Linked DNA regions of Mus musculus. The protein of the gene in region 4 interacts with the protein of the main gene of each other region in a pairwise test. Links are inferred from orthologs where the notes say so. Each region holds a gene or a part of one and is shown on either strand. Other genes may lie near its edges.

Region 1 (4,226 bases), on a different chromosome or scaffold from region 4:
GCAAGAAAACAAAATAGTCTTTTCAGTCCCTCTGGGAGCCCTAGATGTGGCAATAGAAAAACCCAGGGCTCAAATTTCTGGAGACGGGGACTGGTAGACAGTCATTTAACAAGGGAGATCAGAAGACCATTCAGGAAGCACCAGGGGCTTATCTGCAGGAGGAGGAAGAAAGAGAGGCTGCGGCCTGTGCAGTAGTGAAGATGGGAGAAGCTTTGGGAACAGTTTAAGGAAAAACCTGCAGAAAAGCAAAGTGGAGGAGTGATTTTTCAGTGGGAGATAGCACCTTCAAAGTTCGACGAGAGAGAGGAGAGCCACAGTACAAGTCAGTTTGAAAAGCACAAATGCTGTCTGGAGATGAGTGCCTATGATCCCAACACTTGGCTCAGGAGGCCAAGGCAGGGGGATTGAGAATTGGAAAGCACCCCTGGTCTGTGTAGTTGTGACCTCATCTCAAAAATAAAATAGCTTAAGACTTTTTTTAGTCCCATGGGAAAAGGTTAGCCAGTTTAAGTGCTGTACAGCAGTAACCAACTTACAGGTAATATCTCTCAGTCATATTCTAAAAATTTTAGAGTGCTTATCACCATATCCTAACAGTCACAGCCAGTCCCCACCCCCATGATTCCACCAAAAAATGAGGCCAACTTACCTTTTCCCGTCGCTTCTCTTCCTCATGCTCTTTATTGCCTCTGGGAACTCCTTTCCTTTCTTCCAGCAGCTCCCTAAACAGGTCCACAGGGCCAGAACTTGGAGCTCCTGGGTCTGCTGCTTCCAGCTCAGGCACTGAGTTTCGTTGCCTGGCTTTCTTCCGTAGGAATTCCGTACGGGCCTATGAAGGGTTATAGGGAAGACATTCAGAACCCAGAAGTGCTGAGGATACAAGAATGGTCCATGGGCAGGGAGGGCAGTGGTAGCACACACCTTTGAACCTAGCATTCAGGAGACAGAGGCACATGGATCTCTGAATTCAAGGCCAGCATGGTCTACAGAGTGAGTTAGTTCCAGGACTACACAGAAAAATCCTGTCTTGAAAAGAGGGGGTGGGGGTGGGGCAAATATTGAGAGCAAGAAGAGATACCATTTCTAACTTGGAGTGGAGAATCGATGTTTTTAGACAGTAAACTGGGCTATCAGAGATAGTTCAGAGAAGATCCCTGACCTAAAACAGAAGGCTTCCCAGTCTCAAGTGATGCAAGGAAAACCCACTCAGGTATAGGTATAGGTGGCTTGTTCAGCCATAGAGCCCCTGCCTTGTGTGTAGTTCCAAATTCAGTCCCCAACACAAGTATGTATATACTCCCAAACTTGTAAGGTAATCAAATATTGCTTTCTGGACAAAGGATCTAAATCCAAGGTATGGCTCCAGGTCACCACTCCAAGTACAACCTGACCCCAGATAGGGATGGTCTCTGATTCACAATTCTCCCCTTTCTGCAGCCTTAGTATCTGGGATTAATTACAAGCGTCACCTTTTTGTTTGTTTGTTTTGTTTTGTTTTGTTTTTTAAGACAGGGTTTTTCTGTGTAGCCCTGGCTGTCCTGGAACTCACTTTGTAGACCAGGCTGGCCTCAGAAATCCACCTGCCTCTGCCTCCCAGGTGCTGGGATCAAAGGCGTGCGCCACCGCCACTACCCGGCTTTTTTTTTTTTTTTTAAGCCCACACTAATTCATGATCAGATTGGCCAAGGGACTTAAGTGTAAACCAAACTAATCGAGTAACTTAGAGTCTGTGATGTGTGTGTGGTCTTCAATACTAGCGTTCAAGTGGAACAGGCAAGCTGAGTTCAAGACCAGCCTGGTCTACGTAGCCAGTTCCATAACAGCCACGGCTACACAGACCCTGTTCCAAATAAAACCTCCAGATGCTCTTTTCTTGGCAAGCAATGAGGGAGGGAGAAAAGACATGCCCAACGAAGTGGACCCCGGCTTGTCCGCCCTTTGCCCTCCTTGCTGAAGCCGTTGTACTCAGAGCAAGGTGACCGCACCCCTCCAAGTTGTTCTAAGAGGGAATTTCTCAAAGCAAGCGCTCAGAAGGAAGGGAGCATACACAGAGTGGGTGATCAGTAATTAACTTGTGCGGGCAACCTATAAAGTAATCAGAATATTTGTCCAACTCTTCCAGTATGCTAGTCTCTGGTCCCTCAACACCAGTGGGGAAATCTAGGAAGGTTTCTTGGAAGTTAGCACAGGATTTTCAGAGAAACATCGTCGAACACACAGACCCGCTCCCGGCACCGAGTGATAGCTAGGCCCGCCGCGCTTCTGGGCGGTCCCCAGGCTTACCTCTTGCTGGGCGAGCAGCACCCTCCGCTCCCGCTCCTTCTCCTCCTCCCGGGCCTGGGCCTCGTCGCGCCGCACGCGGGCAACATTGTCCTTGTTCCGGACGTGCCAGCTCTTCTTCGGCAAGATATTCATGGCTCCAGTGCCGACCTCGGACTGTCAGGCCCACTCTTCAGCACTTCCGATTGGCTCGAGGATGCTCCCGCCCCATGGTTCCACCCTTGCTCGTGCATTGGTTCTGGGCCAATTGTCACGTCCCATCCTAGCCTTGTTTAGAGATTATTGGCTGAGAGCCTTCCATCTCAGCCAATCCTAAGCATTTGTAACCTGAGTTGCTCCACCCCCGGACGCTGCTTGATGAGGCTGTTGCCTGTCTATTCCTTTAAGCAGACATAACCTAGCTCTTCAGGCCGATTTGGACCTGGCCCCTCCCCAAACCCCGTCCGAGGCTTCAGAACGGGGTTTCAAAACGCAAAGCGGCCTTGACTGTTGTTTATTAATACGGTTCAATTGAGAGTGTAGCATTCGGGTGGCAGAGGGCGGGGAATTTGGTTCCAGAGATGAAAGAGTCCCATCACTTGATATGAAGTCACTGAAGCTGAGGGGCTGAAGGTTCAGCCAGACTTATCAGGAAGTTCCATTCCTTGAGCTCAGAGCCACAGCTCGCTGGGCCAGGAAGACTTTATTCTGCACTTCCTGCGGGCAAAAAGGAGCGAAAGTGAAGCACACCTTTTCATTCTTCTTTCATAGTCTCATAGAGCCCTTTCCGGGGAAATCAGCCTGGCTCACCGTCTCTATCTGGCGTTTGAGCTCAGAGATGAGGCGTCCGTAACAGTTAGCCAGGGCTACGGTATACATCATCAGGATGCTATGGAAGACAGGAATGAAAATCACTCTAGAAAAACAATCATCTTCATCATATGGCTCCTTAGAAACCAGGCTGGAGAGATGGCTCGTAACCGGAGCACTGGCTGCACTTCCAAAGGACCGGGGTTCAATTCCCAGCCCCACATGGCAGCTTACAATTGTAACTCAAGTTCGTTACTTCACACAGACAGTCACACTGTCCAAATACCAACACACATAAAAATTAAATGAATAAGTAAATTAAAGAAACCAATATCAGGATCCTCAAATCCCTTAAAACCCTTTTTGAGACTCTGAACACAAGTCTTTATCCTCTCTCTTTAGACCCAAAAGTTCAGACCCTTTAACCAGAGGTTAAACTAGAGGTTCAGGCTCCATACCTCCTCCCCCTTCATCAAATCGATAAATCCACACCCTAGCCCTCCTTTCCTCAGACCAGGAATCCAAACCCAGATGTCTTTTCTTAGACCCTAAGCATTCACACTCCGACTCTCCTGCTCTTGATTTATAGGCATCCCGGCCAGCCCCACGTCTCTGTTGTATATAGGCACCCAGCCCACCTCTCTAGCACTCAGGTGCCCAGAAACTCCTTTCTCTTTCAAACACTAAATTACACACATTCAAAGTCTGACTGCTCACCTAGAGAGGATCAGAAGAGGTACAGTAAAAGCTTGGGTTCCCAGAAAGTAGAGAAAATTCTGGGCAGTCTGAGGGAGGCTCTCAATGGCCTCAGGGATCTGGGCCCAAATGGACAGCTTCCCGCGGAACGGGCCACACAGTTTCGAAGGTGGGATCCTGTAGGGGGAGACACACTGGATTCAGTCAAGTCGAGCTAGAGTGAGAACAAACAGAAGTCTCTCGTACTTACAGGAAGATACTGTAAAGCACGGGAACTGCAGAGATCGCCAGACCCACAAGGAGAACCAGGGGGAAAAAGAAGTTTGCCGTGGATGCTCGGAAGGTGCGGGAAGCCGGTGAGTAGATGGAGAAGAGGGTTATCTGGTAGGGAGAGGCGAGGAAATGGAGGTGTAAGACTCAAGAGTCAATCCTTTGCTTTTCCCTGTTTCTTATCTTGGAGC
Region 2 (4,058 bases), on a different chromosome or scaffold from region 4:
CCCCTCTGGCCAGGGCAGGATGTTGGGGGGAGGGGACAGGACCGGGAAGTCGCCTAGCTCGTGGCTCTGCACGTGGCTCCATGGGGGATGGCAAAAGCTGCCAGGGAGGCTGTCCAGGGTGACATCGGGGGCACAACCACCAAGCTGGCCAGTGGCTCCGACCAGCCACACTCAAGACCCAGGAGACCCCTCCCGACCTCCCCTCCATCGTTTGTTTCCCAGAGGCACCTGGAAAATGTCTAGGACCCCCCAGAGCCTTCACTGTAACCAGATCTCAAACTTCCCAAGCTCTATCGAACTTCTCCAGCTTCTCACTGCAAGCTGCCTCGTTTTCCTAAGGGTAGCTCCCAACACACAAGAAGGCGGCCAAGGTGATACACTCCCCAGAAACCAGCTCCTTGCCCATTCCCTTAAGTCCTTAAGTCACGTCCAGGTGAGGCAGACCTGTGGCCACTAGCAGTCTCGCACGCAATCTCCGCGTCTGAGCCAAATATCCCGGGAAAAAGAGGTTAGAAGGTCTGTTCATAGGGTGCCTCCTCCATGACGCCTTCCCGGACCACCGCCCTGCTCCTCTCCCCAGGAAAAGACCCTTCTCAGAGGAGAGGACTGTACTGAGCGCGGGAGGCCGCCGTCGGGGCTCGGGACACCGTACCGCCGACGGTTCTGCAGCGGCCGAAGAGAAGGACGCCCCAAACTCCAAGGCCCGGACTCTGCCTGGGCACCTCGGGTAAGGGCTCCAGACCGAGACCCCTTGGAGTCCGGGCCAGGAGGCGGGAAGACCGCCTTGGCCGTGGACAGTCGGCAGCCCGCTCTCCGGCTGCGCCACCACCACTTGTTAACCACCTCTTGGCTCCAGTCGGCTTGCGATCCGGCCAGCGGGACCCCAGCCCGCTAGAACCGCCGTACCTGTGCGCGCCGCCGCACGGCGGAGCAGCTGTCAGTCAAGGCAACACGAGAAACGCGAACCGCCGGCCGCGGACCTTTCGGCCTTGCTCGGACGCCGTAGCGCCGGGATCTACCACCACAGCGGGAGGGGGGGGACCGGGATGCTGCCGCGGGCTCGGAGGCTCTCGGAGCCCCGGGTGGGCACGAGCAAGGAACACCGCCGCTTCAGGGTAATCATGGGAGCCGGGGCAGGGCTGCGGCGGGATTCAGGGAGATGCGGGGCGGGGCTCTGGATCTTACGGGGCGGAGCTAGGGCGTAATGAGCCCCGCGCTATGGGCGCGCCTGGGGCGGGCCTTGAAAAGCTACTGCCGGCAGCCTGCACGCCAGACGCCGCCATGATCATCCCGGTGCGCTGCTTCACCTGCGGGAAGATCGTCGGCAACAAATGGGAAGCCTACCTGGGTCTGCTGCAGGCCGAGTACACGGAGGGGTGAGACGGCGGGCCGCGGGGGATGGGACAGGACGGGAAGGCTGGACTGGGGGCATGAAGTCGAGGGGCAATGGGGAGGGTTCTGCGGCGGACCGGGAGTGAAATTGAGGTGTCCTGGGCCGGGGGTAGATAAGATTTCCTATGGAGAATTGGCAGGGCAGGGGTTGTGGGGTCTAGTGAGAAGACTGGATGTCCTCCAGCCCAGACCTGTGATGTATTCCCAGAAGAGTGAGTCTTTAGTTTGTTTTCGAGGCAGGATTTCGGTGGCTGACCTGAATTCTCTATGTAAAGCAGTCTGGTCTGAAACACTTCGAAATCCTGCCTGTCTCCTGGATGTTGGGATTAAAGGCGTGCAATATCACGCCCAGGCTCTCAGAAGTTTGGAAGGTGGTTTTCTTCAAGTTGCTGGCCTTTGGGAAACTTCTAAGCATCCTTCCCGTGGGTGACACCTCAAGTCTCTTCCCTGTCGACCTACTCTCTATCCTCTATCTGCTTTCCGACCTACCCCTTATGTACTTCGAACCTCGTGGGCCCTTTAAAATGCAGGACAGGCTTTGTGGGCATCGTCTTGTGCTCACTACTATGACTGTCCCCCAAAATAGACCTCTGGCCACCATGTCAACACCAAGGGGTTCTCTTTCTCTGCACAAGCCATAAGTCAGTGGGGCTTAATGAGCAGCTATTAGATCAGCTCTGATGAGTAGCTGCTAGCCTTCTGGGACCCTCTTTCACTTGGGCAGGAACCTCTCAAGCTGTCTAGGTCCCAGAGAAATTAAATCTAGTGTGAGTTCAAAGCCTGTGGGGTAGCAACAACCAGTTCATGGCGTTTAGTCAGAGTCCACCTGTGGGGCCTGGAATTGTACTCCTTGATGAGGGGATATTGGTCTCCTAAGCTTTCCCAAATAACCCTGGAAGCCCATAACCCTGGGTACAAGAGACAAACGCAGAGATACAGGGGGTTAGAGAGATGGCCCAACTGTTTTTTTTGTTGTTGTTTTGTTTTTCAAGACAGGGTTTCTCTGTGTAGCCCTGGCTGTCCTGAAACTCACTTTGTAGCTCAGGCCGGCCTCGAACTCAGAAATTCACCTGCCTCTGCCTCTACCTCCCAAGTGCTTGGGATTAAAGGTGTGCACCACCACACCCAGCTAGATGGCTCAACTGTTAAGAGCACTGGCTGTTTTGTGTGTTTGGTTGTTTGATTGTTTTTTAAGAGGACTCAGGTTCCGTTCCTTGAAGCAACATGGTATCTCGCAAGTGTCCGTAACTCCTTTGGGCTTTGGGAGCATCAGGCACCCATACACATAAAACGAAATTTTAAAAAACAGGTGTAGGCAGAAGGCTGTTAAGGATGGATACAGGATGCTATGGGAGAAGACTGGCACATGAGCAGGTGTAACTTCTAGGTGGGGAAAGGGTCACCTGGCTCCTCCCTGAGCATCTAGATACATATTTCAGAAATCTCCAGGCCATTTCCCTATGGCCTGGTGTCAGGTTTCAATCGCTGATTATGTAGATGTGCTCTGGTAACCCCTATCCACACGAATACCCAGAGGCAAGCTGGAGGTGGTTCCAAACCTATCCAGACTCTAGAGACCACATCCAGCCTCACTCTTCTCTTTACAGGGATGCCCTGGACGCTCTGGGCCTAAAGCGCTACTGCTGCCGCCGCATGCTGCTAGCACACGTGGACCTGATTGAGAAGCTGCTGAACTATGCACCCCTAGAGAAGTGACCGCTGGAGCCTGCCCTCCTCTGTCTCCTGCTGGCCACGGGCAGCCTGTCGTGCTATGTTCAAACTGAGCTATTGGGGATGTTGGTGTATTGCCTGGCTGTGGCCCTGTGGCTAAGTCCTGTTACCCTGGAAGGAACTGTTTAGTAAAGATGTTTGCAGAACCACCAACAGGTCTAACTTCCAAGGTGCTCCATGTCCATGTCTGTGCTGTCTCTGAGGCTACCTGGCCTGCCTCCAGTCTTTCCCCTAGGGCTGGTCTCCTTCCCCTTCATCTGACTGGGAGTCTCGTCCTGTGGAGGAGTACCCTGCTTCCGTTCCCCGGGGCCTTGACCACTTTGATCAACGAGGTAGCCCTACAGTAGTCTTGTACCACATTGCTTTAGGGCCTCTCCGCTTCCTGCCTGTGTTCAGGATGGGCATAATGGATGTGGGCACCACACCATCCACAGGTATGGATGGGCCCAAGCCTGGTGACAATATTCCTTTGGAATGCTGAGCGTGCTTGGAGGTCCCAATCCTTGTGCTAGGGTTATTATGCATTTGGGTATTTGGTCTGCTTATAAGTCTTTGTATCACTGTGTCCCCACAGAGGCCAGATCCCCTGAGAGTAAAGTTATAGAATGTATAAGCTGCCATCAGGTATTGGGAATCAAACCCAGATTTATTTACCTTTCATTTTCCAAGACAGGGTTTCTCTGTTTGGCCTTGACTATCCTGGAATTCAACTCTGCAGACCAGGCTGGCCTTGAACTAAAGAGATCAGTCTCTGCCTCCCGAGTGTTGAGTTTAAAGGACGGCTTGTGCCACCCAACCAAACCCAGATACTGTAGGAGTACGCCCAAGGCCACAGGCCTCACGAATTTCTTGGGTCCTAAAGCCCATCAGCTGTGTGAGCCTATCTGCTGCCCATGCCTGAGGATCTTGTTTCCAGAATCTTCCCAGGCCCGACA
Region 3 (3,929 bases), on a different chromosome or scaffold from region 4:
ATTTCCCAGAGTTACTGGCCAACCTAAGGTACATAGTAAGTTCTAGGCCAGTCAAGGCTACATCGAGAGACTTTTTTTTTTTTTTTTTTTTTTTTTTTTGTCTTTTCGAGACAGGGTTTCTCTGTGTAGCCCTGGCTGTCCTGGAACTCACTTTGTAGACCAGGCTGGCCTCGAACTCAGAAACCCGCCTGCCTCTGCCTCCCAAGTGCTGGGAGAGAGACTCTTTCTTAATAAAATAAAATGTAAAACAAATATACCTTGGGACCAAAAGAATATACCAAAAAAGGCCTTGGGCCTTTCTGGAAAGACTTAAAAAACTGATTTTGATCCATGGTTACAGAGGGGAACAGCTCTGAAGAGGTTCTCAGCGATGGTGCCTGGCCTCCGCACAGCAGCACACTACTTTCACCACTGAGGGAGGAGGAGAAGGCGGCCCACTCAGGCTGGAGCTGTCTCTTCCGGCCCCATCTTTCCTCGAGAGCCAACACAGATAACCATCAGGACAGTGTTTGTAAAAAACACTCAAGACACAGACCCGAGCTGGGTTTTATTGAAATGTCAGGAGCAGGCACATGTCAAGGTAGCCAGGGAAGGGGTGGTGGTGATGCAGGCTATGAGTTTGCAGGGAGGAGCAGACCCCATGTCCATGACCCTGCGTCTCCTCTTGGCCAGAACATGTACAGGTCCCAATAGCATGCTTAGTCCTGGAAGGGCCCGGCCACCTGGACTATGATGGCGCCAAGGGCAGGGGCTGGAAGCACTAAGTTTTCTCCCTTCTGAGGGAGGAAAGAAAAGGAAGAATGCAGGCTAAGTATAGTGGGGACAGAGGTGGCCAGGACAGACTTCCTCGAGTCTCTGCACCCAAGCTGTGGTCCTGGGCAGTGGTGGGGAGCAGCATCAAAGAGGGCCGCCGAGGGCCCCGCCCTCCAAGAGCCAGAGCCCCCAACCTGTGAGGGTGGGAGTTGGCCCTGCACAAAGAGAGCAGAAGTGCAAAGGGACTGAGTGCAGGCAGTTCCCACGCCAATGAGTCCTCAGGGCTAAGGAGCTCAGCCTTCTTGGGACAAGGAAGAGAAGAAGGAAGGATCCAAGCAAAAGGTGGTCTCTCCTGCTCGGCCCCATTAGGTCAGTTCTACATTGTTGGCACGGTCCAGCACTCGAGAGCCACGGGTATTGCCTCCAAGCTGGAAACGGCTCTCATAGAGAGTGGGGCAAAGGTGCCAGCGGTTGGCTCGGTAGATGCCCAGGTAGGTGTAGACATCAGGTTTGTAAGTGAGCAAGCACTTAATGCCTGCAGCACGAATGGCAGAATCTGCTTCCAGCACACCCAAGCGGTCCGTGAAGTCGTCCGTGTAAACACAGATGACCTGGCGCCCACCCTCTTTGGCCCGTGGGCTCACCTTGGCCACCTGGAGACGGCCCTCAACTACAGCCCGGGCAATGCCAGCCCAGGCGTGGTCCAGCTTGAAGCCAGGTGACAGGTGAATCAGCCACTTGCCGGAGAGCACATGGTGGGTGATGGCCAGCTGGCGCAGGGTACCTGGTGTGATGGGTCGCCCACTGGTCTGCAGAGCCTCCCAGGCCGCCTGCAGCCCTTGTACATCCCCTGAGTTGGGGGTGTAACCCTGCCCATAGGCTGCAATCCAGCCCACAGGTTCAGAGTTGGGTGAACCTGGGTCCCCATAGCGAGTAACTTGAGATGGTGGGTACTTGGCCAACCAGGCATCCAGCTCTGTGGCAGGTGTGGTACGGGCATCAAATACCAGCCAGGGGTCCATATCGGCTGCCATGGCCTCTGCAGCCAGGTGCTCAGCAGTGAAGCCATCCTCCCGGCCACCTGGAGAGTCTTCCTCTTCCAGCTCCTCATTTGGTTCCATCCTGTTGTGAGGGAACTGAGTCAGAGGTTTGAGACAGTAAATAAAAAGTGCTGGGTCCTGGAGGGTGCCAGGCACTGCAGTAAACTGTGGCCCTGGGCAAGACATAATGTCTGTGCCTCAGTTGCTTCATCTTCACAATGGGTAACAACTGATCCTGTCTAGATTTGTCTCCAGAATAAGACGCCTGAGGTGGAGTAGCTATAGTTAGTACTACTTTCACTGCTTACAAACAAGGAAATTGAAACTCTTAAGAAAAGGGGCTTGCCCAAGGTCATGCCCGTAAAGAGCGCCAGAGCTTAAGTGTGAACTGGCACGGGGCTCGGCTACACCACCGGACTAGAGTCCTGCAAGGTAGCGCGGCGCTGCAATATAATGGACGTAGGCAAAACGCAGGGTCGCCAACCTCAGAGGATGGCTGTAGAGGGCCAGGCCTCCCCCGGTGAACGATTGGGGGCACCGTGAAACACCGAGGCTCTGAGCCCCAGAGAGGGCAGCGGCCCATCAGGGGGTCAATGGGTACCATCCAGACTCGAACCAGATAGGACCAGGCCTGCGCGAGGACCAGGCTCCAGCCCTACCACATCCGCCGCCATTAGTGCCCACAGCTTAAGGGTTGCCGTCCCTCTCGCCACCCCGCAGTCACCTCCGGCCTTCACTCCGTTCCGCGCCAACCCAACTTCGGGCCCGGCTCCGTTCCTGCCCGGGATCTGCTGCGCCGCCGCCGCCGCCGCCGCCACCCCCGCCGCGCCCCGCCCCTGCCACGGCCGCCGCCGCCGCCGCCATCTTAGGGTCCCGCCACCTCAACAACAACTTTATAGACAAACACAGTCACGGGGCGGGGCCAGAGGCGGAACCAGAAGGCTAGGGGCGGGGGCTCCAGGGGAAGGGGCGGGCAGCGTCCAGGGGCGGAGCCGGCGCGAGAATCCCGGGAGGTGCAGGTCTTCGGGAGGCGGAGCTAACGTTCGTACTTTAGCTTGGGGGGCGGGTGGGCGTGGCGGGCGAGCCCGGGGAAGGACGCGCACCGCCCCAGAGGATCCGAAGCCCAGCGCTCGAGTTTGGGGAGCTGCTTGTCTACGGGCGGCACTAGGACCCTGCGGGAAGTGGTGTAGGCGGAGTAAACGGCACCAGGACCCGGGGAGGGTGGGGGGGGGGACCGCGGCGGGCCGGCGGCGGACAGGCCCGGGGCCGGGAGGCTGCGGGCGGCGGCGCTGGGCCCGGCGCAACGAGAGGCCCCGAGATGCCAAGCAAGAAGAAGAAGTATAACGCGCGGTTTCCGCCGGTGAGCACGTGGCCCGGATGGGCCCCGGCAGGCAGGGCTCCCGGGAGGCTTGGGCCCAGGTCCTGCTGGTGGGGGGGGCGGGTGCCTTTAGGTGTTCACGGCCTGACGCCCCGCCCCTTCCATGCCCTCCTGACTTAGCGCCCCCCGCCCTCTTCTCCTTCTCCCGGGATACCCCCGGTTCCCTCTGTCCCCCGTGTTAGGGACGCAAGAGACGAGCTCTGTCCTCTTCCTTTCGGCAGGCGCGGATCAAAAAGATCATGCAGACGGACGAAGAGATTGGGAAGGTGGCGGCAGCTGTGCCTGTCATCATCTGTATCCTACTAGGGGCCGGTTGGGCTGAGGGGCGTGGGGCGGGACTGCGGCACTCCCCTTTTTGGATTCTCCTTGACGTCTTCAGCCCGGGCCCTTGAGCTCTTCCTGGAGTCCCTGTTGAAGAAGGCTTGCCAGGTGACCCAGTCTCGAAATGCCAAAACCATGACCACGTCCCACCTGTGAGTGGCCGCCGAGCTGGGAGGGGCTTTTGAGGAGGCAGAGTTCCGACAGGGGGAGTGGTGCAAGGCCCAGGGAGGCCAGCTTTGTGGATTTGGACTGATGCAGGAGAGATTAGGTGTTTCAGGTGCAGGGAATACAACCAGATCCGAGCCACCGGCCCTCCCAGGAGGCCTGGTGGAAGTAGGGGTGTTTTTAACGTTCCACTGTACTGACACGAAGAAGTTGTTTGTATCCTTCCCTAAGTGTTTTGGGGGCCCCATTTGAACCCCTTCCTTTCCCACTTC
Region 4 (3,511 bases):
CAAAATTCCCCACCACAGACAACTGAGGGACAGTGCCCGCATTTATGTACATATTACACAAGCCCTACAGAAACCAGGATAAAGCACCAATGTAAGGGTACAAGACAGAGAGTTTGTTAGGGGATTGCAAAATATCCTCTCTAAAAGGCCAGACAGTTTTAAGGTTTATGTGGGAAGCAATCTCTGTGGGAACTGTCCAGCTCTGTTGCTGTAGCAGAAGAGAGAGGGGACTCTAGGTCTGGGCATGACAGCAGGTGGTCAGCATGCCTGTGGTCCTACCCCTTTTAAAGTGGCCCTGAGAGACAGTACATGACCCCAAGGGCCACAGCCTTGTTCAAAGTGTAAGCAGCTATAAACAGGTGCCTACCACATCCATGCCATTTCTTACATGGTAACAGTCAAATTAGTAAAAGCACCAATGAGCCAGGCAGTGGTTGCACACGCCTTTAATCCCAGCACTCGGGAGGCAGAGACAGGCGGATTTCTGAGTTTGAGGCCAGCCTGGTCTACAGAGTGAGTTCTAGGACAGCCAGGGCTACACAAAGAAACCCTGTCTCGAAAAACCAAAAAAAAAAAAAAAAAAAAAAAAAAAAAAGCAAAAGCACCAGTGTGTGGACAAAATGTAATTTCTTGAACAATAAAATCCCTCAAATATAATTAGTTCCAACACAACCTGCAGAGGTACAGCCTAGCTGCACTCAATAGTGAGAGTGTGCGGGATTGTAGGAAAGAAAGAGACTTAAAAAGCAGTTATTCCTAAAAAGTGGATAAAATACCTTTTTTGATGAATCTTCCTTCTCCAGTTGATCCCAGAGGGGCAGTTCTTGGTTTCTCAGTAAAGTGACCTGGTATGATAAGTTTTTCTATTATTAAGTGTAATTTGAAAAACAGCTTATCACTTAAAAAATTTAAAAACAGAATAAAGCAAATAAGACACATTTACTTAACTATAACTCAATCCAAAATATTCTTACCACAATCTTGCAGCAGTTTCTGAAAAATCAGAGTTGTTTTTTGTTTCTTTGATTTATTGCCATATGCATCTGATTAAGAAAGAAAAGTGGGAAAGCGGTAAGTCATGGGATTCTTCCTTCCTGCACCAGGAACAAGCGCCTTATCAGAGTGTGGCAATGCTTAAAATACATGCGAACAGTACAGGCTGGAAGTATGCTACTGTACAATACATCCAGTACCAGTTATAAAGGACACTTTACTCTTAATTTTAAAAAGCTTAAAATAATAATTTTTCATCCTAAAAATAACTGTAAGTCAACATGAACTAACACATTGGACCAAAATAGATACAACTTTATGATTACCAAATTTCCCACCTATAAAAGGGTATAAAAAGTACAGAAAATAAATTCAAAAATACATATATAGATGGAAAATATAATCTAACAGTTTGAGAACAGCACTCGGGAGGCAGGTGGATTTCTGAGTTCGAGGCCAGCCTGGTCTACAGAGTGAGTTCCAGGACAGCCAGGGCTACACAGAGAAACCCTGTCTCGGAAAACCAAAAAAAAAAAAAAAAAAAAAAAAAGAACTCTAAAATTATTCAAACTCTTAAGAAATGCAAAGAGTAGGAGAAAAAAAAAAAACCCAAACCAAACCAAAACACACAAGTGAAAACTTCTAGGGGAAAAAAAATACAGATTCTGAAGATATAAAACTGCACTCGAATGTTTATTTTACAATATTACAAGCATGATCAGCTTTAGACGATCTGTCCTTCAGCAGAGACTGTCACTTGGTCAGCTCATCACTTGCTAGTGTACATAAAAGTCTAAGTCCAATTCCTAGCAGCACATTTAAAAAGGCAGCAGGGACAGCACAAGGCACACTGCTGTAATCCCCACACTCAGCTAAGATCCATCTGTAGCTACATAGCTGTTTCTAGTGAGCACACACACACACACACACACACACACACACACGTATACACATTACTCCCAACTTGCCATACCTTTTTCATCTGGCAGGTATCTGAAATCCATAGACTCACTAACTTCCTGGTCAGAAGGCCTCCGCAGCTGCATTTTCACTGTCACAGGCTCCAGTATAGCTTTGCAATACGGAGGAGTCTTGAAAACAATGGCTACTTGGCGGTGTACATCAGCTTGTGAAAAAACACCTCTGGCTTCCCAGTCATTCAACACAAAACGAACTTCTATATCATCTAGTGAATAAGATGCCAAAGAATAATAACAATGGGGAAACGGTACAATACATATATTAATCAAATATGTACTACTAATTCAATTAAACAAAGCTGATAAATACCTTTCTGAACTTTGTCACAAAGCAGAAATATTTCATCTCCTCCCCTGACACTTCCACAGTTCTTGTTCACACGGCAGATCCTTAATTCTGCAGTATTTGGGGCACCTAAATGCAAAGGATTAAAAAAAAAAACATTGGGTCTCGGCATTGTCTTAGTTAATGTTAGTTGTTGTGATGAAACACCATGACCAAAAGTCGCCTGAGGAGAAAAGGGTTATTTCCCTCATAGTTCCATGTAACAGTGCATCATCAGAAGCAGTGAGGGTGGATGGGAGAGAGGGTTCAGATGCTCTTCCATAGGTCCTGAGTTCAATTCCCAGTGACCACATGATGGTTTACAATCATCTGTAACGGGATGATTTTTTTTTTTTTTTGGCATGTCTGAAAAGAGCAACTGTGTACTGATATAAATAAAACAAATAAATCAAAAGAGAAAACGAGCAGTGAGGGCAGGAATCTGGAGGCCGGAACCGATCCAGAGGCCCTGGATGGGTGCTGTTTAGTGGAGTGCTCTTCATGGCTTGCTCAGCCTGCTTTCTTACAGAACCCAGAACTACCAGCCCAGGGGCGGCCCTACCCACCATGGACTTGGCCCTCCCCTGTGAGTCACTAATTAAGAACATGCCCCACAGGTTTTCCTATATCCAGATCTTCCAAGGAGAATTTCTCAATTGAGGTTCCCTCTCTGATGACTCTAGTTTGTGTCAGTTGACATAAAACTAGCCAGTACAAGTACAAGGGGAAGAATTTCAGGAAAATAATTTAGAGAATAGATAAAATTTTAATGTATAGATAAAGGAAACTAAATGTTTTTTGTGTGTATTATAGCTATGTTGTGGTATGTCTGAGTGTAGTTATGTGTGTATTATAGCTATGCTGAGGTATGTCTGAGTGTAGTTATGTGTGTATTATAGCTATGCTGAGGTATGTCTGAGTGTGGTTATGTATGTATTATAACTATAGTATGTCTGAGTGTGGTTATATGTAGGCCCAGGTGAGCATATGTCACAGCATATGTGTGGAAGAGGTCAGAGGACAACTTCAGGTGCTTGCTAGCCCTCAACTCCTACCTCTTTTGAGACAGTCTCTTTGTTACTTATGGCTATGTACACCAGGCTAGTTGGCCTTTTAACTTGAGCAGTTCTTGCCTCTTCCTCCTGTTTCTTGGTAAAGGCACACTGTGAATAAATGAGTCATTTTATATCACTGGCTATATCCCTAGGGCAAT

The links. The genes of interacting proteins can lie anywhere in the genome.
Region 1: the proteins of Rel (region 4) and Leng1 interact in binary tests that used the Homo sapiens proteins (3 or more experiments, as listed by UniProt). The link is inferred for Mus musculus from reciprocal best matches to the Homo sapiens genes REL and LENG1.
Region 2: the proteins of Rel (region 4) and Polr2l interact in binary tests that used the Homo sapiens proteins (3 or more experiments, as listed by UniProt). The two-hybrid records come from large-scale screens. The link is inferred for Mus musculus from reciprocal best matches to the Homo sapiens genes REL and POLR2L.
Region 3: the proteins of Rel (region 4) and AI837181 interact in binary tests that used the Homo sapiens proteins (3 or more experiments, as listed by UniProt). The two-hybrid records come from large-scale screens. The link is inferred for Mus musculus from reciprocal best matches to the Homo sapiens genes REL and C11orf68.

The regions. Positions count from the first base shown.
Region 1 is NC_000073.6:3,663,033-3,667,258, forward strand, and holds the start of Leng1 (leukocyte receptor cluster member 1 homolog), read right to left. Parts: upstream 2,809-4,226; 5' UTR 2,416-2,808; coding exon 2,284-2,415; intron 830-2,283; coding exon 650-829; intron 1-649. Other genes in the region: Tmc4 (transmembrane channel-like protein 4), read right to left, coding at 2,908-2,976, 3,070-3,148, 3,787-3,942, 4,016-4,146.
Region 2 is NC_000073.6:141,472,346-141,476,403, reverse strand, and holds the start of Polr2l (DNA-directed RNA polymerases I, II, and III subunit RPABC5), read left to right. Parts: upstream 1-1,250; 5' UTR 1,251-1,281; coding exon 1,282-1,376; intron 1,377-2,999; coding exon 3,000-3,108; 3' UTR 3,109-4,058. UniProt on the Homo sapiens protein: DNA-dependent RNA polymerase catalyzes the transcription of DNA into RNA using the four ribonucleoside triphosphates as substrates.
Region 3 is NC_000085.6:5,423,897-5,427,825, reverse strand, and holds AI837181 (UPF0696 protein C11orf68 homolog), read right to left. Parts: upstream 2,683-3,929; 5' UTR 2,658-2,682; coding exon 2,518-2,657; intron 1,890-2,517; coding exon of another isoform or gene 1,876-1,889; coding exon 1,119-1,875; 3' UTR 509-1,118; downstream 1-508. Other genes in the region: Drap1 (dr1-associated corepressor), read left to right, coding at 3,112-3,153, 3,393-3,465, 3,551-3,644.
Region 4 is NC_000077.6:23,743,463-23,746,973, forward strand, and holds part of Rel (proto-oncogene c-Rel), read right to left. Parts: intron 2,389-3,511; coding exon 2,284-2,388; intron 2,180-2,283; coding exon 1,967-2,179; intron 1,044-1,966; coding exon 975-1,043; intron 846-974; coding exon 777-845; intron 1-776. UniProt on the Homo sapiens protein: Proto-oncogene that may play a role in differentiation and lymphopoiesis.